2 linked regions of the Anolis sagrei genome follow. The protein of the gene in region 2 binds, or shares a complex with, the protein of the main gene of each other region. Links are inferred from orthologs where the notes say so. Each region holds a gene or a part of one and is shown on either strand. Other genes may lie near its edges.

What was found.
Region 1: the proteins of BBS4 (region 2) and BBIP1 are in contact, whole or in part, in a cryo-EM structure (PDB 6VBV), measured with the Bos taurus proteins. The link is inferred for Anolis sagrei from reciprocal best matches to the Homo sapiens genes BBS4 and BBIP1. Residues at the interface, in NP_001069424.1 of Bos taurus: Leu210, Leu213, Tyr236, Leu240, Ala241, Ser244, Gln247, Thr248, Ser269, Pro271, Asn274, Asn275, Met278, Phe281, Gly282, Lys284, Tyr298, Leu299, Pro301, Leu302, Asp303, Trp304, Lys305, Ile306, Tyr308, Asn309, Leu312, Leu315, Thr316, Gln318; in XP_003587939.1 of Bos taurus: Met7, Phe8, Arg9, Glu10, Val11, Leu12, Pro13, Lys14, Gln15, Gly16, Gln17, Leu18, Tyr19, Val20, Glu21, Asp22, Leu28, Lys30, Pro31.

The regions. Positions count from the first base shown.
Region 1 is NC_090023.1:209,391,293-209,407,617, reverse strand, and holds BBIP1 (BBSome-interacting protein 1), read right to left. Parts: upstream 6,034-16,325; 5' UTR 5,831-6,033; intron 4,524-5,830; 5' UTR 4,505-4,523; coding exon 4,465-4,504; intron 2,531-4,464; coding exon 2,367-2,530; 3' UTR 2,245-2,366; downstream 1-2,244.
Region 2 is NC_090029.1:31,599,625-31,615,885, reverse strand, and holds the start of BBS4 (Bardet-Biedl syndrome 4 protein), read left to right. Parts: upstream 1-8,356; 5' UTR 8,357-8,410; coding exon 8,411-8,419; intron 8,420-14,073; coding exon 14,074-14,125; intron 14,126-16,261.

The sequences.
Region 1 (16,325 bases), on a different chromosome or scaffold from region 2:
AATAGTCCTTTGCAAGCCATCTCTCGCAAGCAGATGCTGCATAAACACAGACCATTGCTTATAATTATGGTCACTCAGTCTCTCAATCATTGGCATTGGATTAGAAGCAGCCATTCTCACCACAGGAGACCCTCGCGATCTGAGTTCAAGCCCAGCCGCTGATTCACACCGTCAGTGGATTCTGGCAGTCTCCCCTCTGGTTTCCAACTTTATGGCTTTACGGCTTCACACTTTCCGATCATCAATCTCTGGGTCCAGCGCGCCCCGTTCACAACTCTGCTTACTCCCAGAATCAGTCTTTCGAAGACACTCACCAGCTCTTGGTGAAAACAGGCTCCAGTCACCAGTCCAAACCACACAGCTTCGATCACAGCCTCCAACCTGGTCAGCAGCTCTGCAGGTCAGCTGGTCCAGGTTAACAAGCCCGGTCAGTGTGGGCCCATAACCTATTGTTGGCGTTAGCAGAGTATCGCAGAAGCTCGGAATAATGGACTCTGGAGTCTCCAGTAAAAGCAGGTTTTTTGCTTTACTTAAGCAGCTCAAAATAGACAACATACACCATCAGTGGACAGACGTGAAGAACACAAACCGAAAGAGATAGGAACAAATACAAACTGCAGCTGGAAGGAAGTTTATCTCTGGCACTCCCTAATCTTTCACAGAGCAAGAACTCAGGGTCACATTCTCACAGCTTATTACTTTGCTGTTTAACCCTTCTGTGTCAAAATACATCCTGGCAATACAATTCTATTACAATCACAATCCTATCACATAAAATTACATTTAAACACACATCATACATGAATTACACACTGACATCCCCCCCCCCCCCCATTATTAGTAGACTGGAAGCAAACTAGCACCTAGGGGTAAACCCAGCTTTCAAATCTTAATTAACACGCATTACTGCAGACCTGGCATTATTGTGTCTTTAAATCCAAAAGGGAAAGTATAGAGGACATTTTCATACAAGGTTGCAGGCATTAATGCTGCTAAGATATTGATGTTATGACAGGATCAAGTAATACCCAGTATTGGCTGCTCCTTTTAATATGGATGCATTCACTCTTGCATTAAACACTATGCTCTGAAGAACCCTTGACTGGCAGGAGTGAGCCACAGGAATCAGTCCCTGAATGGCATCTGAAATCATTGTTTTAAACAACTTACACACTTTTAAACGCTTCCGGCCCAGCTCACCTGTTCGAATGTATCTCCCTCTATGACCCACCTCGGAGGCTAAGATCGTCAGGGGAGGCCCTGCTCTTGATCCCACTTCCTCATGGGGACGAATGACAGGGCCTTCTCAGTGGTGGCCTCTTGTCTATGGAACTCCCTCCCCAGTGAAATTAGATACCCCCCCCCCCCCCAATCTGGCCTTCAGAAATAAACTAAAAACATGGCGCTGGGATCAGGCTTTTGGTCAATAATGGGAGCAGTGCAATAAGAAGCTATAACTTAATTGAATGACGATCCAGGCTGGCCCTAGAATATGTCCTGGATTTTGTGATTTTAATTGCTATTTTAATATGTTTTATTTAGTTGGTTTTATTGTTTTTGTTTATTCATTGATGTATGTGTTTATGCGACATTGACTTGTTGCCTGTGTAAGGCCACCTTGAATCCCCTTCGGGGTTGAGAAAGGCGGAATACAAGTATGGTAAATAAATAAATTTTATATATGGTATATCCCTTGTATTCATGGGGGATACATATCTGAATTTACTGTGAAAACAGAAAACCACTAGTAATAGAAAACCCTATTGCAGTGAACAAATTCCACCAGAAGTAACTTAGAGCCACGCTGCAGAGCCTAGAAAATGCCTAGAGGACATATTTTGGTGGATGTGAGTAGATGAGTCCTTGGATACAGGGACTGTATCATACCTAAAAGGTATGCATTTCATGTGTTACACATTCTATAGATAGGAAAGAGCCAATGTTGCAAAATGGTATGAGCATTAGGCTAACATCATGGTGCTGAAATCCCTACTCAGTCATGGAAACCCTCCAGGCAACAAATCTTTCCAAGGAAATCCCATGATGGGGTTCATCTTAGGGCTGCCTTAAATCAAACAGTTTGAAGGCACAAAACATCCAACGGGGAAAAAAGCCTGGCATCACATTTTCTGCAAATGTACTCAAAAGAACAAAGAGATTTTACTGATGTTATTTATAAATGGCAATCTGAACAAAGTTCAATAACAGAAGGTAGAATTAGAAACAATCACAGAACTCCAAAAGGAGGACATCAAATGCCATTTTAATCAAGATATTTTAAAATATTTACAGGGTTGCAATCAGCAAACAATCTATCATAATGGTGAATAAAGAATTGCTATATACATTATTCTTTATTTTTCCTATTACTCTATTGATTTTGAACTCTGCTGGGCAAGCTCTTGCTGCCTAATTGTTTCCTGTGCTTCACGCTGCATCTTCTCAAGCTTTTCCAGCGTAACTGATTTTAAGGGGAGCAGCTTTGGCTTACACAATACCATTGTAGTCACATCTTCTACTGCTAACATTCCTAGAATGAGGGGGGAAAGATAAACAATGAAATTCACATAGTCTTCTAGATTACATAGCCTGGTTCAGACAGTATAGAATCCATGGTTGTAATTGGCAAACTTACTAGCTCCTGGGCAGGATAGAGAACATAGAAGTCTCCACCAAATATTCCTTAAATAAGCAGTAATTTAAAACGGAGGGCAGGTATATTTACTCCTGTAGAATGGCTTCACATGTATTTTCAGAGGCATATACAGGGTATTTCAAAATGATGGACCTAAGTTTAAAGCAATATTTTTCATGGTGTTATAATTACACGAAAAGTTTATACAAAAAGTTTCAAAAAGTTTAATGAGTTATCAAGTTTTACTATGCATTTTGAGCCAAAAACAAATCTAAAAACAATAAAAATCCACCACAAATGTTAAGTATTTTTGTTAGACCTTATGTTGTGGAGTCACCATCTTGCAAATGACTGAGCCCTGTTTATGTGCTGGGAGAGGCATTTAGCAGTAATCCTTTGAAATTCAATACCCCACTTCTTCAAGTGGCACAGTTTCATTCATGGTTTGTGGTTGCAGCGATACAGTATTGCAAATTGGGCCCATTATTTTGAAACAATCTGTATATCATAACAATGAGCGATGAGCTAAAATCTATTTCCAGAAGGAAATGTTGATTATTCCTAAGTATAATGCATTATAGATGCTGCATTATAGATGCTGGTCAAGACTCAAAGGCAACATATAGCCTGCTTCCAATGGGAACAATGAGAACAGAAAGATAGCTTTGCTGAGAAGAATATTACTTTGTACAGAAGTAATATTCTTTTCAGCAAAGAATAGTAAGGAGACGCTGATGATTTATGCTTTTATTGGTTTTGTATGGGTTTTTATTTTATATGCTAAATGTTTTAAATTCTATTTTATGTGTTGGGGATATTGAATTGTTGCCAACTGTAAACCACCTTGAGTTGCCTTTGGGCTGAGAAAGGCGATATATAAATACGGTAAATAAATAAACAATATTCTTATGGTTAAAGATAAATGTCCAATTCAAAAAAGTAGAGTTGCACACAGCATTAAAGAACAAAAAATAAACATTTTATTGTTGTAAAGGGAAGCACAGCCATCCCTCCATATTTGCTGTTTTGATTATTCACAATTTTGATTAAAAATGTTCTCACTAGGTCCAATGTGCTGGTCAACTTTCTTCAGTTATGTTGGAGGACCTTGGGATAGAAAGCTTCTTTTGGAATAATTGGAACCTCCAATTATATTCTATGGAAGTTGAACATAGAATCTTACAGCCGGAAGATCTAGAAATTCCTAAAGAAGTATTCCTTTCGGGGGGGGGGGGGGGGAGAGATGCAATTTATTTCACAAGGATCCTGGGCCCTTAATCCTAGTTAATGTGGAGTCCTGAGCAACATTAGGAATTATTTTCTCTCTGAGATAATATCACAAACCAAATGGGTGGAAAGGGATACTATGAGATAAGGTGCCTGATCCTGTGCAACACACATTCATCTAAAGCAGTGGTTCTCAACCTGGGTCCCCAGATGTTTTTGGCCTACAACTCCCAGAAATCCTAACAGCTGATAAACTGGCTGAGATTTCTGGGAGTTGTAGGCCAAAAACATCTGGGCATCCCAGGTTGAGAACCACTGATCTAAAGATTGGCAACCATGTATTGTGTTTTATCTGTGACATGTGTTTATTTATTCATGCCAATTTTATCCTGCCTTTCCCCACTCAAGGGCCCAAAGTGACTAACAGCATTTATAAAATACACACAATATAAACATTGAAATAATACATAATGAAACCAAATATTCAATAGTGCTGAAAAATGTTAAAATCTATGTATTAATATAAAACTAAAAGTCCTAAAACAAGGGTTCCTAAAAGGCTTTGGTAAAGTTGTGGTATCGTGCTGGGAAGGGTCACTCACCTTGCTTGGGCAACACCTCGCGGAATTTTGGTTCAGACATTGTTTGGCCTCAATCTGCACTGAATGAGAAATTGCCAGAAGACTATTAATATGCTGCCCCCTCCATCATACCTTCCAGATCCAGAATCAATACACTAATTCAATCAATTCACTTAGTAAAGAAACTCCCCAAGGTGTGTATGAGGCCCCTTCCACCGGGACTGTGGCATAGCTAAGTGTCATCTGCATTAAGATCACTTCTGACCAAAAGGTCATGAGTTCGAAGCCAACCCGGGTCGGAGTGAGCTTCTGACCAATTGTGTAGCTTGTTGTCGACCTTTGCAACCCAAAAGATAGTTGCATCTGTCAAGTAGGAAAATTAGGTACCACCTATGTGTGGGGAGGCTAATTTAACTAATTTACAAGGCCATTAAAAAAGATGCCAGCAAAGCACTCTAGCAAAAGCATGCGGGGAATGCGGAAGTACTTCATCAGTGTCGCAGATGGACGATGAAAGCGATAGCTCCCCTGGTGGCCAGAAAAGTTAAATAGCCTCTGACTGTCTGTCTATATCTGTTGTGTGTCTTTGGCATTGAATTTTTGCAATATTGTACATTGTAATCCGCCCTGAGTCCCCTGCGGGGTGGAAAGGGCGGACTATAAATACTGTAAATAAATAATAAATAAAATCCGATATTATCTGCTTTGAACTGGAATATATGGCAGTGTGGACTCAGATCACCCAGTTCAAAGCAAATATTGTGGGATTTTCTGCCTTGATATTCTGTGTGGAAAGGCCCCGAGAGGTCTCCTAAACTAGGAGATTAAAAAAAACTTTATCAAAAGAGCCAAGAGAACTCGGGAAGAATAGAAACATTGCCTTTTAATGTGTGTGGGGGGTGGGTAGATTGATGAAATAACATACAATGAAATACAGCATGATACTGTATTGAAATACTGTGTAAATACGATAACACTAATCTAGATTAAAAGGAAAGAATCTGGAATTGTGGGGTTTGAAGTCCAAAACACCTGGAGGGGCGAAGTTTGCACATGCCTGGCCTAAAGGAACCAGATCCTTTCTAGTCTTAGAAGCTAAGAAGGGTGAGCCCTGGTTGGTACGTGGATGGGAGACCACCAATAGGTGGTATTTCAGAAGGAGAAACTGGCCATTTCCTTGCCTATGAAATCCTTATGGCAGGCATCCTCAAACTGCGGCCCTTCAACTTCCAGAATTCCTGACAATTGAACAAGCTCGTTAGGGCTTCTGGGAGTTGGAGGCCCAAACAGCTGGAGGGCCGCAGTTTGAAGATGCCTGCCTTATAGGGTCGTCATAAGTTCAGGAACACACGAGGCCAGCCAGGGCCTTCCAGTCTTCTCTACTTACAAGTTTAGAGCAGCCAAACACCGACGAACCCGCTTCTAATTCGCCCTTCGCGCGGCCTAGGATCAACAAGGCTCTTTCCTCGCGCATTGCCATGGCAACGCCGCCACAGGGTCAAAGTAAAACACGGAAGGACTTCTCCGCCCCAGACTTCAAGAGGCACTTCCGGCTTCCGGGCGACTCCGCTGAGTGCTGGGCTTCGAAGGGCACCATAGAGAGGCACAGATAGAGCGCCCCTCTTCGCTCCAATCGGGGCTCCTTCCCTGCAGAGGACGTCAAATAGCCAAGCGCATGCGCAGTACCTGCACGGCTCTTGTCTTCCTAGTTTAGGACTGCTGCCCAGCCGTGCTGCCATCTCCAGGCGCGTTGTCCATGTTGACGCTATCCTCATTCTGGGATTAACGTTGTTTTTGTAGCTGCCACAAACTATGGCCCCTTCCACACAGCTGAATAAAATCCCACATTATCTGCTTTGAACTGGGTGATATGCCAGTGTGGACTTGGACAACCCACCTCAAAGCAAATATTGTGGATTATCTGCCTTGATATTCTGGGTGGAAGGGCCCTGTAAGAGCTGTTTAGCAGTGGAACTCTCTGCCTTAGAGTTTGGTGGAAGCTCCTTCCCTGGAGGCTTTTAAAAGAAGCTGGATGGCCATCTGTCAGGAGTGCTTTCATTGTGCTTTTCCTGCATGGCAGGGGGTTGGACTGGATGGCCCATGTGGTTTCTTCCAACTTTAATTTGTTAGTCCTGTTTTAATACTAACTCTCAGGCAACCAGAAACTACATTTATATGCCATCAAACAATCCCCTTGGGTGCTGGTTAACTGAGACTACAGTATTTTGCAGGTTTGGTGCAGAGGAAGGTTGTGCGCTTTGCACATACAGTTGATTTTACTATACTTTTTGAATGTTACCTGTACAGTCCTTAGCTTAGGTAAAGGTAAAGCTTTTCCCCTGACATTAGGTCCAGTCGTGTCCGACTCTGGGGGTTGGCGCTCATCTCCATTTCTAAGCCGAAGAGGCGGCGCGGTCCATAGACACCTCCAAGTTCATGTGGGCAGCATGACTGCATGAAGCGCCGTTACCTTCCCGCCAGAGTGGTACCTATTGATCTATTAACATTTGCATGTTTTCAAACTGCTAGGTTGGCAGGAGCTTGGACTGATAGCGGGAGCTCACACTGCTCCCCGGATTTGAACTTGTGACCTTTAGGTCAACAAGTTCAGCAGCTCAGTGCTTTAACTCACTGCACCACTGGGAACTCCAGTCCTTAGCTTAGTGGGCCACAATCCTCTTGACACATGTAGTAAAAATACTTTTGCGTCTTCTGTACCCAGCACTGCTGAGGCACTCTGCTTGGACTTGATTTCTTTTTGAAAGAAGGGTTGTTGCACATTTAAAGAGAAGTACAAACCAGTCTTGCTAACACATAAACTGCCCTACTTAAGATCCCAGAGAGAGGCATTTTGCCATGCCAGAGGGGCATTCCAGAGTTCAGATCTAATGTCTTTATCTTTCTCTGCCTCGGCTCAAAAGTTACTTCATTCGATCCTTTGTGTACACCTGTGTTACATCATTCTTGGCTAAGAGGAGGAGGCTGACAGGGCGCCTTTCAGGACCAGGGTCATGGAGGTATGTCTTTCCTCAACAATAGGTGTGGGTTGGGTTGGCTGGGCAGGTTTCACAGGTAAGGAGCTTTTAGTATTCCTTTCCAACCTCATTAACCTCTTTCTGTGGAAGTTCCTGATCATCCTCTCACAACTTGCTTTGTTGCTTTGGAAGTCTATGGCTGAATTAGATAAGGAAACAAGTTAATCTGCTCAGAAAAAAACAAAACAGTTTACTGGCTGCCTTTAGTGAGCCAAGCTTAAATCCAATTCATTCCAATCCACAGTAATACTTCCAGCATTTGCCGAACCGGTCTCTAATCCATGAAAACTCATGTCACAATAAATTTGTTGGGTCTTGAAAGTGGCAGAAGATTCTTTATTGCATTTTTCTTGACATATCCAAAACAATGGCTAATGGTGTATCTATGGGCCCTTCCACACAGCCCTATATCCCAGAATATCAAGGCAGAAAATTCCACAATATCTGCTTTGAATTGGATGATCCGAGTCCACACTCGGATAATGTGGGATTTTCTGACTTGATATTCTGAGATATAGGGCTGTGTGTAAGGGCCCTATGTTGTTGAATTAATGCAGTCTGACCGCACTTCAAATATCATGGCTCAATGCAATTGAATCATGGGAGCTGTAATTTCATGATGCCTTTAGTCTTCTCTGCCAATGAATACTGGTACCTCATCAAACTACAACTCTTTTGATTCCATAATATTGAGCCATGGCAGTTAAAGTGATATCAAACTACATTCATTCTACTATGTAGATGCACGCTTGGATTCCATATGTTTATTTCGTTGTCTATTTTGCTCCTTTTAAGGAGAGACAATTTCAGGCAGGTTTTCCATTGTATTAATTTAATGGCAAACTTGCCCGAAATTGGACTAACTTGGTTTCCTAATTGGACTAACTTGGATTCAAGTGAACTGAAGACGGATAAATGCACTACACATAAAAAAATTATGACAATGATCTCGAAGTGGCATATAGCCTGTTCTTGTGTTCATTTGCTTCATAGTCTAAGACTCTATATGAAACAACAACTTGTGCTTTTGAGTACATATATAGGACCGTGCTGTTGTTGTATATGATGGGAGTTTGGGTATATCTGCACTGTAGAATGAATGCAGTTTGACACCAATTGAACTGTCATGGCTCAATGGTCTGAAATCATGGGGGCTGTAGTTTGATGAGCCCTCTTTGGCAAACACTCAGAGAACAGGGGAATTCCAGACAAACCTTCAAACAAAGGATTCCTCCAGGCAGCAATCAACTAGACTTTGAAGTTGCAAGGCCATTAAATGCTAACCAAGGTAGCCTATTGCAACATTCACACTTGTCTCAAACAAACAAGAGTTCTTTATCCTACCCTGGACATTCCACAGAGATATAAACCTCACTTGCCTAGTTTCCAACAAACCTCACAACCTTTGAGGATGTCTGCCATAGATGTGGGTGAAACGTCAGGAGAGAATGCTTCTGGAACATGACCATCCAGCCTGAAAAACTCACAGCAACTCAATGATTCTGGCCACGAAAGCCTTTGAGAATACATTGAGGCTAAAGACCTTGTAAAACTACAAGTGGTATCAAACTCCATTAATTCTACAGTGTAGCAACATCCTTTTTTAAATAAATGCTTGCCTAGATTGCAGGTCAAGGCTTAGAATGCCTCAGGTATGATTAAGCAGCAAGTATTCACTACTGATCAATCATATTTATCCATCAGTGTACTGCACAATTCCTTCATTAGGTCTACCCTTTATTGATCTGGTGAGATCTCAACTATTGGAACCAGTAACCTATACTGCTTTGGATTATCAATGTGCATTTAACATTTCATAAAACAGTTTGACTCCAACAGGGATTTTAATTCATAGAGATACTAGCTAAACACAGCCAAGCTTTGCTGTGGTTCAGTCTAATAGGAAATGAATGTGAAAGCAAATAAAAGTATTGTTGCGAACATAGGTTCACTGAGGAAACACATCATTCAATTCAATACCCTGCTTTGCTTTGCTGTGTCTATGTGGAATGAAAGCAAAGAAAAAGAGGGGTTTAAAAAAAACAAACAGAAATTTTTATTGTAAAGCTAGTGGATTGACTACATTTTTGGTTTGTTCTTTTTCTGCATAAACATAAAGGTCAGACAGTTTTCTGAGTCTGGACCATGTAATGTATACTTGCAATGAGAGAAACAATTGTTTTTTAAATTCAAACTGTACACTTGCAAAGATTGCCTCTGCACTTCATTGATAGCCATAGTGAACGCAAGGCATATTGGAAATTGAAGTTGTTTGAACTCAAACGCCATGTCTATCAGAATGAGTGGTATTCGTGGAAGTAGTATTTCTTCACCTTTATGAGGACCATTCAGAATTGTTGCTTCAATTAGATTGTTCATCAATTTATTATCTACTAATTGTGTGCCATTGCATAACTTTGGCCAAGGTACTGCAAATCCCATCATCGGTGGTCCATCCTCCCCCTATATATTTTCTATCCAAACATACAGCAATAATGACCAATCCCATTTCCAGTCCTATTTCCAGTCCCTTTTCTTCCCTGAGAGTTCTATTTCTGCAAGCTTGTTTTAGAGGCATCTATTTTTATCTCTCAAATGTTTTTATAAATCTCCAACAACAAAGTAACTGAAGAGAGAAATAGTTTTATTTCCAGTCTTCTGTTGTTTTATGACTCTATTTACAACTTGGCCCATCAACCAACTTCATCAGCTGCGGGAAGAGAAGATGAGGATTTCAGAAGTTTATCATGAGTAATGTGTTCTTTAGTTAGTTCTTTGTCATTTTTTTCCTTTAAGAACAATTGCTCTGCAGCTCTTCCTAAATTAAGTTATATGGTCCTTAATCTCCACAGTGCCTCAAGGGATTTTGATGCTTAAGAAGAGAATATCTAAATGCCTCGTATCTCATAGTACAAGTATAATGAATAAAATAATTGAATTGCTGCCCTTTAATAGCACTTCATGTTTTTTTGTGGGCTGTGAAAGCTATCTCATGTCCTCACTGGCAGTCACCTGTGTTCTTGTTTTGTGTTACTGTTCGGCTATTAAGTTAAAGAAAATGAATTTTACTAAAAATGCTTGCCTGGAAATGACAAATGCCAGCACTCTAGGCAAAGGGTGAGGCTAAGTTTTGTTTCCTGCCTTTGTGCAGTTCATTCCGAACAAGTTTTAAGTTGGGTGTCACAAGAAAAATTAAACAAGGCGTGCCAACACCCAGTTCTTGTGAGGTTGAAAAATCCTCTGGTCATATGTTGCTGTGGTTATATTGGTACAGACTTTCTGAAACTTCCTTTTTGCACAGGGAAAACAATGTTTTGATTATATAACAGGAGATCGTATCTTCCAAGGATGCCCATGAACACTCATTCATTGGAATTTTCCCAGCAACTAAAAACATAAAAATATGTTTGGCCTTATTCTCAGGTTGACAATTTATTTTGTCTAGAATCTACATGCTGTGAGAGCATATAGGCTTGTTTCCCATGTAGATGTGGTGTCTCTAAGGACTGAACTCACCCAGCAGAAATAAATGCACACTGAATGTGCAAGCAACATACCTGACTTGAAATCAGCAGACCAATAGCTGAACGTGAGTCAACAATGTGATGCAGCAGTTTAAAAAAACCAATGCAATTTCTAGGGTGCATCAATAGGAGTATAGTACTGAGGGAAGTCATGGTGCCCCTCTATTCTGCTTTGGTCAGACCTCACCTGTAATTCTGTGTCCAATTCTGGGCATCACAATTCATAATGGATGTTGACAAACTGGAACGGGTCCAGAGAAGGGCAACCAAAATGATCAAAGGTTTGGGAGCCAAGCCCTATGAGAAGCGTCTTAGGGAGCTGGGTATGTTTACTTTGGAGAAAAGAAGGCTGAGAGGGGACATGATAAACATGTTTAAATATTTGAAAGGATGTCATATTGAGGAAGGAACAGGCTTGTTTTCTTCTGCTCTGGAGACTAAGACACCGAGCAATGGATTCAAATTTCAGGAAAAGAATTCCACCTGAAGGAATATCTTTTCCTGGAAGAACTCCCTAGTACTAAGAGCTGTGCGACTGTGGAATATGCTGCCTTGCAGCATGGTGGAGTCTCCTCTGGAGGTTTTGAAGCAGAGGCTGGCTGGCCATCTGTCGGGGGTGCTTTGATTGTATGTTCCTGGATGGCAGGAGGCTGGACTGGGTGGTTTCTGTGGTCTCTTCCAACTCTGTGATTCTATGATTCAGGGCCTCCTTCTTTTGACATCAGTTTGAGCCAATGGCGTTCCTCTTTCCTGAGACTGGAGGAGTAACCTACATCTTCCATACCCTAATATGCATTTGGTTTATTAGTCTTTGCCAACTTGAAGCTACAACTACCTCTTGTCCTTTAGAAAAACGTAGCTATGGAACCAAGTGTTTGGAGAGTAGTTACAGCGCAAGATGCAGCTACGAAGTTAACGTGATTGGAACTGATTTTGGACTATGATTTCAGGACTATGTGCTATGTTTTAAACTGCTTATTTAAGTGTATATGTTACTGTTTTATGATTATAATGAATAACGTATTTTGTATGTTTTTATGTCTTAATGTGGCATTGAATTATTGCCAATTTGGAAGCAGCTCTGAGTCTTCTTTGGGGTTGAGATAGAGCGGAGTAAAATACAATAAGTAAATAAAATAAAATAATTTCTGATTCTGACTAGTGCTGATGGAGGTTGCAGTCCAAACATCTGGAAAATACCAGGTTGGCTGCAGCAGATGTTTGAGAAAGTAATCCAGTAAATTCTGATTATGTGAGAATTAAATCTGACAAAAGTCTGCCATTCCCTTGTTCATTTTAACTTGTACTCTCACATTAAGCCTGTCTATATGCCAAACTGTCAACCTTTGAGAAAAATAGCAATTGGTAACTGTGAAATGAAGGCGGATGGTTACTATCATTTCTTTCAAAGGGGCTGAAATAGATTGGATTCTAAAATGTTTCTTACTTGGGAGAAATGTATCCATATCCGCAGATATAAAGTGCAAAGAGACAAATTGTAAAAACTTTCTGATTTGGAATCTGCTTTTAGGCAGAAACAAAGCACCCCTGATGTAAATAAATATTTGTGACAAGGTGTGTGTGTGAGTGAGAGATTAATAGAATAAGGCATTTTAAATGTCAAATTTGAAAAGGCACTTTCTTTTTTCCTCTCTAAATAGGAAGGCTTCAGCCATCTGTAGCATGCCGTAAATTATGGAGGCACATGGAAAGTATTTGCTGGAAAGGCATTGAGCAGAGCAGGACTTGAGCAATTTTATCAGTTCACAAATCCTTTTCTTCTTCAGATCCGTTGCAGCTGGGTACTTCCTTCCTATGACAAATTAAAGTTCTGTTAACTTCCACGGATTTTAACGTGTACAAAGTACTCCAGTTTAGCAATCTCATGCTGATTTCCATATTGGCTTCATTTGGTTCCTGCAGCAGCAATTATGGTTTGGATAATGCACTGAAAATTTGCCAAAGCACAGAGGTCCATGTGTTTGCGAAAATTCCCTGCTCATTACATAGGCATCCATTGTGTTCAGTTTTTCTAACCTTAAAACCCATTCCTAATTTTGTTTTATACAATGGCATTATTCTTCTACAAACATACAAATCATGTGAAGACCCATGAGCTTTTACAGATACATTTGACCAAGTATTCCAAGGTATCTTGTTCAAGGTGACAAAAGGGCCATCTGCAGTGTTTAATGCAGTTTTAAACTGCTATTTGAAGAAAGCAGTGCTGTGTGGTGCCTATGAATAAATAGGAAATCCTGGAACCAGTTTGAGGCCCAGATAGTGATTACACAAACGACAGAGCACAGGTGTACATTAAGGGCTTTCTTTTGCATGCTTTTGTGGGAGTTTGTTGTCTGATCACTGCAGCTTGAAGCTACCTCTGAACTACATTAAATGGTCAAAACAGATAGGGCCAAAGTCCCAATTAAACTACACAGTCCTACATAGTCCCAGGTGGCCAATGTCACTATGCAGTTGGACAGACACTTAAACAGCACATGCCCTATTCCTTCACCATTTATGAAAGGACACCTACAGTTCTAAACATACCGAACAATGTATATGCCACAAATGAAGTGAACCCTTATTATGTTACAACTGAATTAGACTTAACAATGCATCTACATTGTAGAATTAATGTAGTTTCATCCCACTTGAACTGCAATGGCTCAACACTATGGAATCCTAGGATCGATAGTCTTTCAACGCCTTTAGCCTTGTTTGCCAAAGAGTGCTATCATCTCACAACTGTGCAGATTCCAATAGCATTGAACCATGATAGTTAAAAGTGTGGCCAATCTGCATTATTTCCGCAGTGTAGATGCACCCTTATTTTGAGGTACATTATGTGTTAGCATCCATGTATATTTGCCAATTAGTGCAGCAGAGGGGCAGTATTTAGAAATGAAAACTAAGATTTTTGGGAAGCAGAACTATCACATAATCATGGCACAAAGACAACACTGACTTTATATATCTCAGTAGGTTTAGGGAGGTATTTATTCGAGCTAGATTTGATCAGCTTGATACAATGGTCAGTGAGATATGGGAGGTTTAACAGCATCCCTTATAATGAACGGATTTGTATCTGCGGAGCACCTGAAATTGAGGATATAGCACACATATTATTTGCTTGTAGTCTGTACCAGAAAGTGAGATACTTGTACTTTGGTTCATATATCAAACGGACAATTTATTGGGAATCCCACACCAGAACAACATATTTTATGTGTGGCCAAGATCCAAAACTAACATATAAAACAGTTCTGTTTTTAAGCAAAGCAATATGTCTGAGCAATATGTGGGGCTGATTGGGGTAAATTGTAGGGGTTATGCGGAAACATGATATAAATATTTTACTTAACTTACTATATGGAGTGTAATCAAGTTTTATCAAGCCCTTTTGTTTGGTTTGGTATTGTGATATGGCCTAAGAGCTAATCAATAAAATTTACTACTACTATCTCAGTAGGAAGAAAAATGTCCTGGTTCTCTTGTATAATAATTGTTGAAACATCATGAATAGATTTCTGTAGTACAACAAATATTTATGGAGGGAAAATAAAACTGTTTACTCGGCTATAAAATAACAGCTTCGTGGTAGTATTGCCTAAGACATGTTGGTTTATTGCATCTGTCCTCTTTTATAATGTGTCTAAATGCCTATTTATTTGAGCGGAGAGGATGTACACTTCATTTATTATACCAAACATTCACTGACTTCTACAAAGCCAGGTGTTCAGTTGGTGAATTATGTACAAAACGTACAGTTTTCATACTCACCATCTGCATGATAAATTTGTGCAACTAATACAGCAAATGTTATTTTTTTTTTATTTCTTTTGCCAAATGGCCTTTCCAGTTCGCTTCTCAATCTGACTACTTGATTACTTACTTGCTAACTTATAATTTTTTTAAATGAGGAAGAATAGTGGGCGATATATTAAAGAGAGATGCATTTTAAAATGTTATAGCAGTAATACATAGTATTCTTGTTCTTAATGAAAAAAAGGAATTGGTTGATTTTGCTTAGGTGGATTTCTAATGGACCAATGTGCCCACTTTTCAAAGATTTTAGGGAAATGTTTGAGCCATTTTTTTGTTTTCTTGTTTACATTGAGGAAGTCTTCAATTTTATATCCCTTGTAAATGAAATGGAATCTAACTCAAAAGGACACTATTTAGGGTACACGCAGGCTCCTATATTTATGAAAGCCTGACCCCTTGTGGTTCCAGATATATTGTTCCTTCTTTGAATGTTGTTCACAAGACATCTATTGACTAAATGTAAAATGAATGCAGATTGACATCCCTTTAACTGCCATGGCTTAGTGCTATGGAATCATGGCAGTTGTAGTTTTACAAGATCCTTAGCCTTCTCTGCCAAAGAGTGTTGGGTGCCTTGCCAAACTACAACTCCATATCATTGAGCCACGGCAGTTAAAGTGGCATTAAACTGCAATGATTCCTATTCAACCCCTATGAAAATGTCACCGAATGCTTGTGCCCATCATAAACATCCTAACAATAAACCTCACATACTAAGGATGAGTTAAACATATATCAGTAAGAAGGGTCTATTAGGATTGATCCTTTTGACTCTAACATTTGGATTTTTTTTCTTTGAGGGGGGTTGCTTTCCTTATTTATTCAGCCCCTAAATAAATATACAAGGGGGGTGGTGGTGTCTACTTACACAGGCAAGCTCCTGCCTCCACAAAAGCTATAGCTCCCACTACTCCAAAGGCCTTCCTTCCAGTGACACTACAGGTTATAGTGACCACTGTAAACATATCCAAGATCTCTGTCAGTGTCTTCCACAAATGCTATACTGCCCACCACCCAAGTGAAGGCTTTTATACGGGGACAATTTCATCCTAAATTTCATGTGTTTCCACCACAACAGACATCCCATGCTTTTGATTCTCTCTATCGGTGTGGAATTTGCATGACCCCACCCATTGCCTCTCCCTTAGCCCTTTCCTATTATTTTCTATGGCACACAGCAAACAGGATTGATCTGCAACTGAACATACTAGAGAGGTCTGCGGAGAATTTACCATGATTTAAAGGAGTTGTAGGTAATGGGATGTGTAGTTCACCTGCAATCTGAGAGCACTCTGAACTCCACTAACTGGATCTAACTTCGTGCACAGAGCCCTCATAACTAACAAAACATAGTGGATGTCTTTATAAGAGTTGTAGTTCACCTACATCCAGAGTGCACTATGAATCAAACAACGATGGATCTGGACAAACTTGGCATGCATACCCAATATGCCCAGATTTGAATACTAGTGGGTTTTAAGGGAAATTGGGC
Region 2 (16,261 bases):
AATTCCCATGACCAACAGAAAATACCAGAAGAGTTTGGTGGGCATTGACCTTGAGTTTTGGAGTTGTAGTTCACCTAGATTCAGAGAGCACTGTGGACTCAAATAATAATTGATCTGGACCAAACTTGGCATGAATGCTCAATATGCCCAAATGTGAACACTGGTGGAGTTTGGGAAAACAGACCTTGACATTTGGATGTTGTAGTTGCTGGGATTTATAGTTCCACCTCCAATCAAAGAGCATTCTGAACCCCACCAACGATGGAATTGAGCCAAAATTGGAACACAGAACTCCCATGACCAACAGAAAATACTAGAAGGGTTGGTGGGCATTGACCTTGAGTTTTGGAATTGTAGTTCACCTACATCTAGAGAGCACTGTGGACTCAAAAAATGATGGATCTGGACCATCTGGACCATTGTTCCTTAATGTGAACAATGGTGGAGTTTGGGGAAAATAGACCTTGACATTTGGGAGTTGCAGTTGCTGGGATTTATAGTTCACCTACAATCAAAGAGCATTCTGAACCCCATCTACGATGGAATTGAACCAAACTTTTCATACAGAGACCCCTATGCCCAACAGAAAATCCTGTGTTTTCTGATGGTCTTTGGCAACCCCTCTGACACCCCCCTCACGACCCCCAGGTTGAGAAACACTGTTGTAGGGACTCAGGGTGGTTTACAACAAATATCGGCAAACATTCAATGCCATTAAGTACTAGGCAAAATAATAATAATAATAACAACAACAACAACAACAACAACAACAACACCAAAGCACCCAAATCCCACAAACCAAATCGACATCTTCAAGAATAATACAAAATTGGGCGATGAAAACAAAACTACAAATTCACAGCTAAATTAAAAACAAAAACAAACAAGGAACAAATATATCAAGTTCAAAGGTATAAAATTAATTAAAATTTATGGGTTTGAAAGCTTGCAGAGATAAAATGACAGATTATTTCCCTTCCAGGGTGACTATACGTGATTATGGAGGCAAGCAGGAGTATCCCAAGCCTCAAATTTTGAATTTCTCATTCCTTTTAACCAATATATAACTCAATGGAGTTCTAAAACAGCATCTAATGTGTGCAATATATTGATTTAATGTATTTAATTGAATGTATCTTCCACATTCATCATTATACGAATTAGTCATTGGAAAGAGCTCACACTCCAAAGGGATAATTTGCAGGCATGGGCCCTCCAAGTGTTTTGGACTACAACTCCCACAATTCCTTAAGCGGCTGAGGGGGGAAAGGAAGGGGCCTGAGGCTGTTAGGAATTATGGGAGTTGGAGTCCATAAACACCTAATTGAATGTATCTTCCACATTCATCATTATACGAATTAGTCATTGGAAAGAGCTCACACCCCAAAGGGATAATTTGCAGGCATGGGCCCTCCAAGTGTTTTGGACTACAACTCCCACAATTCCTTAAGCAGCTGTGGGGGGAAAGGAAGGGGTCTCAGGCTGTTAGGAATTATGGGAGTTGGTGTCCATAAACACCTAATTGAATGTATCTTCCACATTCATCATTATACGAATTAGTCATTGGAAAGAGCTCACACCCCAAAGGGATAATTTGCAGGCATGGGCCCTCCAAGTGTTTTGGACTACAACTCCCACAATTCCTTAAGCGGCTGAGGGGGGAAAGGAATGGGCCTGAGGCTGTTAGGAATTATGGGAGTTGGAGTCCACAAACACCTGGAGGGCCCAAGTTTGCCCATGCCTGATTTAGGATATTCCCAGTTGTGAAGAAATAAAACGCTGCGAGTGATGTACAATTGGAAGCCATTTTTGTCTGCCTCGGACATATTTCCATCGTTTCGATTCCAATGTCTCCTCACGACAATGGCTTCCAAACAACCCATTTCTCCCTTCATTTTTTGAGTTTCTCCCTCATTTCTTTCCAAGAGTCTCCAGTAGATTATGTCTTGATTCCTCCATTTTCTCTCTTCTTCTTCATACGGCTTTGTTAATACCTTTTGAGAGGAGATGTGGACGGATACAAAATGGACGCCGTCCCTCTAGAATTCTCCACAGAAACCAATTGCTTTGGGACAAATTAGGCCTCTGCAATGAGCCATTGAAGCCCCTTGTATAAAATCCACATCGAATTAGATTATTTGTCAGTCTGGACTCAGATAATCCAGTTCAGAGCCGATATTATGGATTATCTGTGTTAATATTCTGGATTATATGGCTGTGTGGAAGGGCCCTGTGAAGCACATTTGTTTGGGAGTTGTAGTTGCTGGGATTTATAGTTCACCTACAATCAAAGAGCATTCTGAACTCCATCAATGATGGAATTGAACCAAACTTGGCACACAGAACTCCCATGACGAACATAAAATACTGGAAGGGTTTGGTGGGCATTGACCTTGAGTTTGGGAGTTGTAGTTCACCTACACCCAGAAAGCACTGTGGACTCAAACAATGATGGATCTGGACCAAACTTGGCATGAATACTCAATACGCCCAAATATGAACACAGATGGAGGAAATGGACCTTGACATTTGGGAAGGGTTTGCTGGGCATTGACCTTGAGTTTGGGAGTTGTAGTTCACCTACACCCAGAAAGCACTGTGGACTCAAACAATGATGGATCTGGACCAAATTTGGCATGAATACTCACTACACCCAAATATGAACACAGATGGAGGAAATGGACCTTGACATTTGGGAAGGGTTTGGTGGGCATTGACCTTGAGTTTGGGAGTTGTAGTTCACCTACACCCAGAAAGCACTGTGGACTCAAACAATGATGGATCTGGACCAAACTTGGCATGAATACTCAATACGCCCAAATATGAACACAGATGGAGGAAATGGACCTTGACATTTGGGAAGGGTTTGCTGGGCATTGAACTTGAGTTTGGGAGTTGTAGTTCACCTACACCCAGAAAGCACTGTGGACTCAAACAATGATGGATCTGAACCAAACTTGACATGAATACTCAATACGCCCAAATATGAACACAGATGGAGGAAATGGACCTTGACATTTGGAAAGGGTTTGCTGGGCATTGACCTTGAGTTTGAGAGTTGTAGTTCACCTACACCCAGACAGCACTGTGGACTCAAACAATGATGAATCTGGACCAAACTTGGCATGAATACTCAATACGCCCAAATATGAACACAGATGGAAGAAATGGACCTTGATATTTGGGAAGGGTTTGCTTGGCATTGACCTTGAGTTTGGGAGTTGTAGTTCACCTACACCCAGACAGCACTGTGGACTCAAACAATTATGGATCTGGACGAAACTTGGCATGAATACTCAATACGCCCAAATATGAACACAGATGGAGGAAATGGACCTTGACATTTGGGAAGGGTTTGCTGGGCATTGACCTTGAGTTTGGGAGTTGTAGTTCACCTACACCCAGAGAGCACTGTGGACTCAAACAATGATGGATCTGGACCAAACTTGGCATGAATACTCAATACGCCCAAATATGAACACAGATGGAGGAAATGGACCTTGACATTTGGGAGTTGTAGGTTTTTTTTGTTTTGTTTTTTTGTTTTTGGTTGTGTCTGGAGCAACCGCTCCTGTTGTGAGAGAATTGGCCGTCTGCAAGGACGTTGCCCAGGGGATGCCTGGATGATTTTTGATGTTTTATCATCCTTGTGGGAGGCTTCTCTCATGTCCCTGCATGAGGAGCTGGAGCTAATAGAGGGAGCTCATCCGCCTTTCCCCGGATTCGAACCTGCGACCTGTCGGTCTTCAGTCCTGTCGGCCCAGTGCTTTAACCCACTGCGCCACGGGGAGTTGTAGTCACTGGGATTCACAGTTCACCTACAATCAAAGAGCATTCTGAACCCCACGAACGACAGAATTGGGGCAAACTTCCCACACAGAACCCATCATAACAACAGAAAATACTTAAGGCCATCCAGTCCAACTCCCTTCACCAGGGCAAGAAAACGTAATCAAAGTCCTCCTGACAAAGAGCCATCCAGACATAGATAGAGATAGAGAGATAGAGAGATAGAGAGATAGAGAGATAGAGAGATAGAGAGATAGAGAGATAGATAGATAGATAGATAGATAGATAGGGAGTTGTAGTTGCTGGGATTTATAGTTCACCTACGATCAAATAGCATGATAGAATTGAACCAACCGGGGCATACTGGACTCCCATGACCAACAGAAAACACTAGAAGGGTTTGGTGGGCATTGACCTTGAGTTTGGGAGTTGTAGTTCACCTACATCCAGAGACTACCATGGACTCAAACAATGATGGATCTGGACCAAACTTGGCATGAATACTCAATATGCCCAAATATAAACACAGATGGAGTTTGGGGGAAATATACCATGACATTTGGGAGTTGTAGTTACTGGGATTTATAGTTCACCTACAATCAAAGAGCATTCTGAACCCCACAAACGACAGAATTGGGGCAAACTTCCCGCACAGAACCCCCATGACCAACAGATAATACTTAAGGCCATCCAATCCAACTCCCTTCATCAGGGCAAGAAAACGTAATCAAAGTCCTCCTGACAAAGAGCCATCCAGACATAGAGATAGATAGATAGATAGAGAGTTGTAGTTGCTCGGATTTATAGTTTACCTACAATCAAAGAGAATTCTGAACTCCACCAATGATGGAATTGAACCAAACGTGGCACACAGGACTTCCATGACGAACAGAAACCACTAGAAGGGTTTTGTGGGTATTGATGTTGAGTTTGGGAGTTGTAGTTCACCTACATCCAGAGACTACCATGGACTCAAACAATGATGGATCTGGACCAAACTTGGGACAAATATTCCATATGCAAAAATATGAACACAGATGGAGTTTGGGGGAAATAGACCTTGACATTTGGATGTTGTAGTTACTGGGATTTATAGTTCACCTACAATCAAAGAGCGTTCTGAACCCCACCAGTGACAGAATTGGGACAAACTTCCCACACTGAACCCCCATGACCAACAGAAAATACTTAAGGCCATCCAGTCCAACTCCCTTCACCAGGGCAAGAAAACACAATCAAAGCCCTCCTGACAAAGAGCCATCCAGCCATAGATATAGATAGATCGAGATGATTCACACACACACACATAGTATCATAGATTTGAAAGGGATTCCTAAAGAAGGACAATTATATGTTGCATGTTCCAGAGTGGGTAAACCAGGCAATCTCTACATCAACACTGGCAAAGAAGTACTTGCAACTACAGGGGAGGAGGATAAAGATTTGAACTTCGTTGAAGTCTGTTCCATGGGTTAACATCACATAGGAATGTGGCCACTGGCTGCTGTCTCGCGTTATTACACGGTGTTTAAAAACAGTTTGCAAACCATGGTTTGTAAAAGTCTGCAAAATGAGGATTTCAAGTCATGGTTCAAACTTTGGATTGTTAATTTGGATTGTTAATACACAAACTGTTGACGTCTCACTGTTAGGCCAATGCTGGCCTAACAGTGAGAGGTTAGGGGTTGTTGCACCACTGTGATGGAAGCGGAACTACTTAGGTGAGAAGATGGGAAATAAAAATAGACAAGTAGCTAAAACATAGTTGTTTTTCATGTATGACAAAAAGCTCAAAACATGTAATAGGTTTGTAATTGTTCTTGTTACAACCACATTTGAGATGTAAGAGCTAAACTATCTTAGTATGCTCTGTATCACCAAAAGGCAAAATCCATATAATTCACCTTAGCTAAAAGCTAAGCTAAGCTAAAAGTTAAGCTAACCTAAAAGATAAGCTAAGCTAAAAGCTAAGCTAAGAGCTAAGCAAAAAGCTAAGCGCTAAGCTAAGCTAAGCTAAAAGCTATGCTAAAAACTAACCTAAGTGAAAAGCTAAGCGAAAAGTTAAGTGAAAAGCTGAGCTAAGCTAAGGTAAGCGCTAAGCTAAAAGGTAAGTTAAAAGCTAAGCTAATCTAAATGCTAAGCCAAGCGAAAAGCTAAGGTAAACTAGACTAAGCGAAAAGCTAAGCGAAAAGCTGAGGTAAGCTAAGCGAAAAGCTAAGCGAAAAGCTAAGCGAAAAGCTAAGCGAAAAGCTAAGCGAAAAGCTAAGCGAAAAGCTAAGCGAAAAGCTAAGCGAAAAGCTAAGCGAAAAGCTAAGCGAAAAGCTAAGCGAAAAGCTAAGCTAAAAGCTAAGCTAAAAGCTATGCTAAGCTAAAAGATAAGCCAAGCTAAAAGCTAAGGTAAGCTAAGTTAAGTGAAAAGCTAAGCCAAAAGCTAAGCAAAAAGATGAGCTAAGTTGAGCTAAGCTAAGCTAAGTGCTAAGCTAAAAGGAAAGCTAAAAGGTAAGCTAAAAAGCTAAGCTAAACTAAACTAAGCTAAGGAAAGCTAAGCTAAACTAAGCTAAGGGCCTAAGCTAAGCTTACATATTTTGTGTTAAATCTTGAAACTCTCCCAATTTCCTATTCTCAAGTAGACGGATTTCGTAAGACTGACCTTGGTTGAGATAGGTCAGGGTTTTTTTTCATGAAGTTTCACAGCAGGCGATATAGCTGCAAAAAAGCTCATATTGAAATGGAGGGAGCTTGGTGTCATTCTCAGGGGAAAGGTGAGGCTCTTCTTGTTTAAAGATCGGCAGTGCGAGGACATCACGCAAGTAGCTGCCTGTGGAGTGCTGGTTGTAATGCTCCAGCTAAGCTGAGCTAAGCTAAGGGCCTAAGCTAAGCTAAGGGCCTAAACTAAGCGAAGCTAAGGGCTTAAACTAAACTAAGCTAAGGGCCTAAAATAAACAAAGCTAAGCCAAGCCAAGCTAAGGGGCCAAGCCAAGCCAAGCCAAGCTAAGGGGCCAAGCTAAGGGACCAAGCCCAAGCCCCAAGCCAAGCCATGAATATGTCTCCCTTGCGCCTTGCCGTGCCTTGTGCCGCATTGCGCCGCCTTTCGCCGCCTTGCGCGCCTCACCTCGCCTCGGAAAGCATCCGATGAGAGATCCAATACAACAGCCAGCAGAGTGATCTTGTCTTTTTGTGTTTCTAATAAATAATAATAATAAACCAGTAAAGGTGGTCCCAGTGGTGATCGGCACACTGGGTGCAGTGTCTAAAGACCTTGGCCTGCACTTAAACACAATCAGCGCTGACAAAATTACAGTCTGCCAGCTGCAGAAGGCCACCTTACTGGGATCTGCACGCATTATTCTCCGATACATCACACAGTCCTAGACACTTGGGAAGTGTCCGACGTGTGTCCCATACAACAGCCAGCAGAGTGTCTGCTGTGGACTCATCTTGTTGTGTTTCAAATAATAATAATAATGATAATAATAATTTTATTTCTTAACCGCCTCTTCCCATGATTGATCCAACACTTCTTCATCTTCTAAGCAATCATAATATGACGATAATATACATATTTTGAGGTAGGTTGGATTGCAATTCCATATGACACATGCATTTCAAAGTATGGGCTGCATGTACACCGTAGAATTAATGCAGTTTGGTGGCACTTTAATTGCAATGGCTCAGTGCTATGGGATCATAGTATGGGCTGCATCTACACTAAAATTAATGCAGTTTGCACTTTGATTGCAATGGCTCAATGCTATGGGATCCTAGTATGGGCTGCATCTACACTGTAGAATTAATGCAGTTTGACACCAATTTAAATGCAATGATTCAAAGCTATGGGATACTAGTATGGGCTGCATCTACACTGTAGAATTAGTACAGTTTGACACCAGTTTAATTGCAATGGTTCGATGCTATAGGATCCTAGTATAGGCTGCATCTACACTGTAGAATTAATGCAGTTTGACAACAATTTAAATGCAATGGTTCAAAGCTATGGGATACTAGTATGAGCTGCATCTACACTGTAGAATTAGTGCAGTTTGACAGCAGTTTAATTGCAATGGCCCAATGCTATGGGGTCACAGTATGGGCTGCATCTACACTGTAGAATTAATGCAGTTTGACACCAGTTTAATTGCAATGGCTCAATGCTATGGGCTCCTAGTCTAGCACTCAAAACCACATTAAAAATCTCGAAAACTAAGAATTAGTAGGGTCTAATTCTTAGATTTCGAGGTGAAAGGATTTAAAAAAAGCCAGGACACAAATATTTGGATTCCCCCCCCCCTTGGAATGGTACGGCCCACTGCGTTCGCTATCTCAAGTAAGCTTTGCTGGACGAGTCCAAGTGTCGAGCCACAAGGGGGGGGGGAGACGGGAAAGAAGAGGAGGTCGAGCTCTCCGCCGCTAGGCGTCTCTCTCTGAAACCCTCTCGCATCCCGGCAAGCCTTGCGACTCTGTCTATGGTAGGCTTCGAACCAATGACAGCGGAGGAGCAAAGCAGAGGCGGGGCAAGAGTGCGGCGGTTGCCGGGGCAACAAGATGCGCCGCGCGCGTTCCGTAGTTTCCGTCGGTTGCCGTGGCAACGGATAACTTCCTCGCGTCGCGCCGTTGAAGAGTCATGGCGGAGGTGAGTGAAGGCCGCAGTTCTCGGTTTTTGATGTATGCTTTTCTCTGCTGTCAGGCGAAGGCTCTTCTCTCTTCCTTTGTGGCCCAATTCCTCATTTCCCTATTTATCTTGTTGTTGTGGTTGTTGTTGTGGCTGTTATAGTGGTTGTGGTGGTTGTAGTGGTTGTAGTTGTTTTATAGTTCTGATTGTAATTGTTGTGGTTGTAGTTGTTTTGTAGTTGTTGTGGTTGTGGTGGTTGTGGTTGTTGTGGTTGTAGTTGTTTTGTTGTTGTGGTTGTAGTGGTTGTAGTGGTTGTAGTTGTTTTGTAGTTGTGTTGTGTGGTTGTGGTTGTTGTGGTTGTGGTTGTTTTGTAGTTGTGATTGTAATTGTTGTGGTTGTGGTTGTTGTGGTTGTAGTTGTTTTGTAGTTGTGTTGTTGTGTGGTTGTGGTTGTAATGGTTGTAGTTGTTTTGTAGTTGTTGTGATTGTAGTTGTTGTGGTTGTAGTTGTTTTGTAGTTGTTGGGTTGTGGTTGTAGTGGTGGTTGTGGTTGTAGTGGTTGTAGTTGTTTTGTAGTTGTTGTGATTGTAATTGTTGTGGTTGTAGTTGTTTTGTGGTTGTTGTGGTTGTGGTTGTGATGGTTGTGGTTGTAGTGGTTGTAGTTGTTTTGTAGTTGCGATTGTAATTGTGGTTGCAGTTGTTTTGTTGTTGTGGTTGTGGTTGTTGTGGTGGTTGTGGTAGTTGTGGTTGTAGTTGTTTTGTAGTTGTTGTGATTGTAATTGTGTAGTTGTTGTGGTTGTAGTTGTTTTGTAGTTGTTGTGGTTGTAATTGTTGTGGTTGTGGTTGTAATTGTTGTGGTTGTGGTTGTTGTGGTGATTGTGGTTGTAGTTGTGTCCCTTCAAGTTGTTTCAAAGTTATGGCTGCTCCAAGGCGGCCTTTTCCCAGGGTTTTCTTGGCAGGATTTGCTTTCCTCTGAGACTGAAGGTGTGTCTCTGGTCTAGATTGTAGAATTAACGCAGTTCGACACCGCTTCAACTGCAATGTCTCAGTGCTATGGAATATTGGGGTTTGCCTTTTGGTGAGGCTTCGGCCTTCTAGGTACCGCTCCGGCGGGAAGGTAACGGCGCTCCATGCAGTCAAGGCGGCCACATGACCATGGAGGTGTCTACGGACAATGGCGGCTCTTTGGCTTATATAATAATAATAATAATAATAATAATAATAATAATCTTTATTTATACCCCACTACCATCTTCCCAAAGGGGACTTCGGGCAGCTAACATGAGACCAAACCCAAAAATAATACAGCAAAGTTAGACACAGAATAACAGAAAAATTACATCACAACAAAATACATAAAGAAACAAAATAGAATAAACAGTGCAAATTAACACAATAAAAATCAAAAACAAAGGGCGGGCCAAATGAGCAAGATAAAATGTTAAAACATTGAAACCCTGGGTGAGGTAGGAATAGAAAAAAGTGTATTTAAGAGGAAGGAGGCCAAGAAGGAGGCTTAGAAATGGAGATGAGCACCAACCCCCAGAGTCGGACACGACTGGGCTTAATGTCAGGGGAAGCCTTTACCTTTACTCGGCCTTCTTGGGCACGGAAGTCATAGATCTTGGGGAACCACAACTCCCAGGATTCTATGGCATTTAAAGCGAGATTTTGATATTTTTCTACATTTATTTATTTATTTACGACATTTATATGCCACCCTTCTCACCCTGAAGGGGATTCAGAGCGGCTTACAAGATATATATACAGTATATTATATTATTAGTATAGCACAATATCAGTATTATATATTACTATATTGTACTATGCCATTATATTGTAATATTAATTATTATTATTATTATTATTATTATTATTATTATTATTATTTCCAGAATAGGAAAACTCCCAACAACCTGTCCCAGAAGCACTTTATTAGACTTTAAGATTGCTTGCACACTGCACTTACCCTAAAATCCGACATACCACCTGTCACATCAGCACTTTTAATCTGTACCTATTACATTTGGCCCGGCCCAGTTTTATTGTGTTTTGGTGTATTGTTTTATTTTTCTGTTGTTTTTGATATTGCTTTAATTGCTTTGATTTGCTCTGTGTTGTGTATTTGTTATGCTATGTTTTTGAGGCCTTGGCCTTTGTAAGCCGCATCGAGTCCTTCGGGAGATGCTAGTGGGGTACAAATAAAGTTAATAATAATAATTTTAATATTATTAGTAATATATAATTATACTTACTTACTTACTTACTTAGGCGATCCCTCGTTGTCCGAGTAGGATAGTCTTCCAAGATCAGTGTACAGGCTCCATAGATGACTGTGGAGTCCTATTCTTGACCCACATATTCTCCCGCAGTGAGGGCATTGGTTTCCAGGTGGAAAATGGTCCCAGTCAGGGTTGGCTTGATGTACCTTCCTCTTGGCCCTCAATTTGTGCCTCTCCAAATTCTACAGCAAATTCACAGCTGACCTCCAGCTGGAGCGCTCAAGGGCCAGGGCTTCCCAATTCTCATTATAATATAGTATTGTATTGTATTACATTATAACATTATAAATATTATTTGTATATACAGTATATTATATTATTAGTGTAGCACAGGAGACAAGGTGGAACTGGCTTCCTGGCCCCCTCTCTCTTCACTCTGTCCCATAAGGTTTTTTTTTTTGAGTTCCCAAAATATATATTTCCTGTCCAATTGAAGCATTCACACCTGCCTCCAACAGGCAAGAGTTCTTTCCCCGCCCTGGACATTCCAGAGATATATAAATCCCATTTTCCTAGTTTCCAACAGACCTCACAACCTCTGAGGATGCCTGCCATAGATGCAGGTGAAATGTCAGGAGAGAATGCTTCTAGAACATGGCCATAGAAGAGGAGAAGAAGAAGAACTTTATTTTTCTACCGCGCCTCCATCTCCCCAAGGGGACTCGAGGCGGCTTACATGGGGCCAAGCCCAAGGCAACATACAATTAAAAACGGAATAGTAGCACATTAAAACACAATAAAACAGCGTAGACAATAATAAACAAGCATAAAAAGCAACAACAGACTCATTTTTGGAGGGGGGGGGAGGGGGCCAATAAATAAAAACTAGTTAAAGGATAGGGTGGTCAGTAAGGTGGATAGAAATGTATAGTAGCATAGAAATAATGGCATAGAAATAGAGCAGTTAAACAGGATCAATTTAGCTTAACTTAAGAAAACTTGTGTAGCCGTTTTCTCCTGTAAGTTCTACTTCTAGGAAGAAGTGACAACAACTTTGTTGCCCATTGAAAACTTCCACATGCTGTCAACAGTTATCATTATCTGCAGGGGTGGATAGCAGGTCCAAATTAATTTACTTGTGTTGCTAATAACAGATGCAGTGTAGACAGCTGGTTTACTTTCTGATCCCTTCTTTGTCCATGTAAGCTGTATCTTGTAGATGTTCTCTCAGTGGAAGACCAAAACGATCAGGGGTATGAATCTTCTCATGAAAGCCATTGTAGTATAGTAGTAAGATCCAAGAAGACAAGGGTTTGAATCCGTCGATCAGCCGTCAAAACCCACTGGGTGATCTTGGGCAAGTCACATTCTCTCGACCTCAGAGGAAGCAAAGGCAAAGCCATTCTGTTAAAATCTTGCCTAGAAAACCCCATGATAGGATCCCCTTAGAATCACCAAAAGTCAGAAATTATTTGTAGACATGCGACAGCAACAAATAATGTGTTTCTCGATAGCTAACTACACAGAGAGTGATACAAGTCCTACTTTTCTCCAGGAGGCTATTTATTTATAGAATGTGATGTTGTAATGGCCACTGGCTTAGATGGGATTTAAAGGAGACTAGATAAATGCTGCTGTTACTAGCAGTGGTGGAGCCCCCGGTGGCACAGTGGGTTAAACCCCTGTGCCGGCAGGACTGAAGACTGACAGGTCGCAGGTTCGAATTCGGGGAGAAGCGGATGAGCTCCCTCTATCAGCTCCAGCTCCTCTTGCGGGGACATGAGAGAAGCCTTCCACAAGGATGATAAAAACATCAAATCATCCGGGCTTCGCCTGGGCAACGTCCTTGCAGACGGCCAATTCTCTCACACCAGAAGCGACTTGCAGCTTCTCAGGTTACTCCTGACATGACAAAAAAACAAAACAAAACAAAAAAACAACAACTAGCAGTGGTAACTAAAGGGGGTCTTCATGTCCACAATTATGAACAGTTGTGTGCTAGAAATTTCTGGAGACATCATGGTGGACACTCTATCAGTCAATAATGGCAAATGAAAGCAGAGACAACCAAGGAAACAGCATATCTAGTATTAAACAATCAGAACCTTGACCCTGAGCCATTCCATCTCAGCACACAGGCTTGTTAATAAAATACATTCAATTAATTTTTTTTAAAAAGAGATTTCAGTTCTTTGTTTTTAAGAGCACAGATGTCCACATTTTTTGTTAAAATGTAGCCTCCATTCTGTTGACCAGAGTTCCTCTCTTCTACTTGCCTTGACTTTTCTCGTTAAACAGGTAGAAATATTGTATCAGAGTCAAACACCGACTCTGATTTTAGCAATCGCATACTTAAACATGTCAATAAATCCAACCATTAGACTAGGGGTCCTCAAACTTTCTAAACAGAGGACCAGGTCACAGTCGGATTATAATTTGAAAAAAAAATGAATTAATTCCTATGCACACTGCACATATCTTATTTGTAGTGCAAAAAACACATTAAAACAATACAGTAATTAAAATGAAGAAGAATTTTAACAAATATAAACTTATTAGTATATCAGTGGGAAGTGTGGGCCAGCTTTTGGTTGATGAAATAGGGTTGTTGTTGTTGTTGTTGTTGTTGTTGTGTGCTTTCAAGTCATTTCAGACTTAGGTTGACCCTGAGCGAGGGATGGATAAATGACCTTGGGGGGCCGTATCCGGCCCTCAGATCTTAGTTTGAGGACTCCTGCATTAGACTTTGTATGGACTATTCCCCCCCCCCCCCCAAATGCAATTGTATACTGATTAAATCTTTAGATTTGAGTCATGTTTTCACTAAGATGGTACACTTGTATCTGGAACTAGATCTACACTGCCCTATAATCGGGATTATCAATCAGATAATCCACATTATCTGCTTTGAATGTGAATCTACACTGCCGCTCCGAGTCCCCTTCAGGGTGAGAAGAGTGGCAAATAAATGTCGTAAATAAATAAATAAATAAATACATAAATACATAAATACATAAATCAATAAATAAAATCTAGATCAAATCGGATAATCTGGATTTTATATGGCAGTGTAAATGCAGCCTGGGTTGTGCTACTTTAGAATCCAGTGGGAGGTCACATAGTTAAATGGCACTGACAAAAAATCCCTGTATTTAAAAATCTGGAATATCAGGGAGAAGAAACCTGGCCTAGCTAACTTTCAGTGAGGACTTCTTTTTGTCTTTTGTTTTTGAATAGAAGAGCACATTTTCTTGCTATGAAGTGAGAGGACAGAGGATTATTATGTTTTAAATAACATATTGTTGTCTTAATGGCTATGTGTCTTTTCTGGATGCATATCAGACATCAAGACTATCTGAATTCATCTAGCCTCTGCATGTGTTGCTGTCTGTCTACGTTGCAAAATAGCTCATTTTAGGATATTAATCCTTTTATTGCTTTTTAAACCATTTCAGACTGCATCTTTACCAGCAATCACAGAACATCCCAAAGCCCGCTCAGGAAGAGGTTGGTTCTATGTTTTTGTATTTTTCCACTCTGCCACTGGTACATCGGTTTGCAAAATGGTAGTAAAGACTTTCTGTATATATTTCAGATTTCAGTATTAATGTCGTGACCCAAAGAACACAGATTGTCTCAAACAGCAATTGAGATGTAAAATAATAGTCTTTTAATGAATAACAAACTTAATGAGGCACTTTAACATCAGTGAAGGCAGTTCAAAAGGTGTTTTCAGGCAAGAACATAAACAGTAGATAATCCGGATATCTAGCAGGCTTGAATAGCAGCCAAAAATAAACAGGAGATACAAGAGTTTGTAGCAAAATGCAAAGCAAAATAGTCTCTAAGAAATACAAGGTTCAGAGCAAGGTCCGATAGGCAAATACGTAGTCCAGTCAATTCCAAGGTCAGGTAGCCAGGCGTAACACTCACGAACGAAGATTCCAAGGTCCGAAGGAACACGGCAGGGAAACAGGATACTGGGAATCCAAGCAAGGTTAGGCAGAGTAACACCACATAACAACACTTTGTTGTCTGCAAAGAAACAGTTCCCAATGTGCACATTTTATTCACTATCAGAAGATTGGGATTCATTAGACTCATCTGATTCTCCTTGCGCAGCTGAAGCATCTAAGCCACGCCAAGTTTGCCACCTTTGTTCTAATGCCTGATCCTGCCAAGAAGATCCCTCATTCCAGTTATCCTGAAAACCCTCAAAATCATCGCTGGAGGTTGTTTGATTGCAAATGTCTCTAATGTTCTGAACCAGAGTCCAGTCTAAAGCCTCCTCCATCTCATCCTCACTGGCACTGGAATTATCTGCTGTGTCTTTAAGCCTCTTAGACATAGTGTCACTATCACTGCCAGACTCACTGGCCACTCTCTTTACTCCCCTGTAATCTGCTTCCATAGCTTCCTCTGGGCCGAATCCTGCAAAGTCTTCCGAATCACTGGAAGCCAGAAAGATGTCACGAATACGTTTCAGCTGACGCTGATTCTCCTCTGCTTCTGCATCACTTCTTCTTCTTCTCCTACTACTAGTAGTAGGTATGGTGCCAGAATGCTGAGTCTCAACAATTAATGCCAAAAATACGTAGTATAATTTTACATAGGATTTGTGCTACATTAGAACAGTAAATACACATAAGTAAAATAAATATTAAATAAGGTGTAAACACTAAACTAATCTGGGAATCTGCTATTGCAACACATCCAATGAAGTGGTTTAAAACCAATATAAAAATATCTCAATACAAATAGAAAACAACTTTGAAACAAGCCCCACATCTATTCTACACATCAATGCAGACAGATGTTCCTGTGGTTTAGGGGAGATAGGACGAGGTTACCCTGTATCACTGCAATCTTGGAAATTGTCAGTGTTTTACAAAATATATCAGAATCAGCCTACTGTGAATGGCCTATGAATCAGTGGGAAGGGAAACCTAAAGCACAGTATAATTGGGCAGAGGGGAGGAGAACTGAGCCATCCCAATAATTTGTCCTCAATTATTTATCTCCCACTGGGATTCCCACTGCAAAAAGTGCCCTGGACCCATCCATCAGTCAAAGACATAAGAATCATTAGATGCTCTTCAACCAAGACCACTAGCGGAAGATTGGCAGGGTCTTATCTGCATTTTATTGCTGCTTGTACCGCAGCATCTTATTCTAGCCTTGAAGAGCTGGTATTCATCCTTTTTTTCTTTTTGCTTCACTCTTTTATTTGTCTTTCTAGTTGTTAGGCCTAATAACAGGTTATCTACACTGTTTCTCCTCTATTTAAATTGACATGAGCACTTTGAGAGGCATTTGTTGTCCAAAAACCAGATTCTACTCAGGGCTTTGCATTCTCAAAATGGAGAATCTATATTTTTGCTTTCATGCTCTCAGCAAGATCTAGAAGCTGTGGTTCTTAACCTTCCTAATGCCGTGACCCTTTAATACAGTTCCTTACGTTGTGGTGACCTCCAACCATAAAATTATTTTCATTGCTACTTCAAAATTGTAATTTTGCTTCTGTTATGAATCATAATGTAAATATCTGAGATGCAGGATATATTTTGATTGGCTGGACCAAATTTGGCACAAATACTCAATATGCCCAAATTTGAATACTGGTGGGGTTGGGGGCGGGGGTTG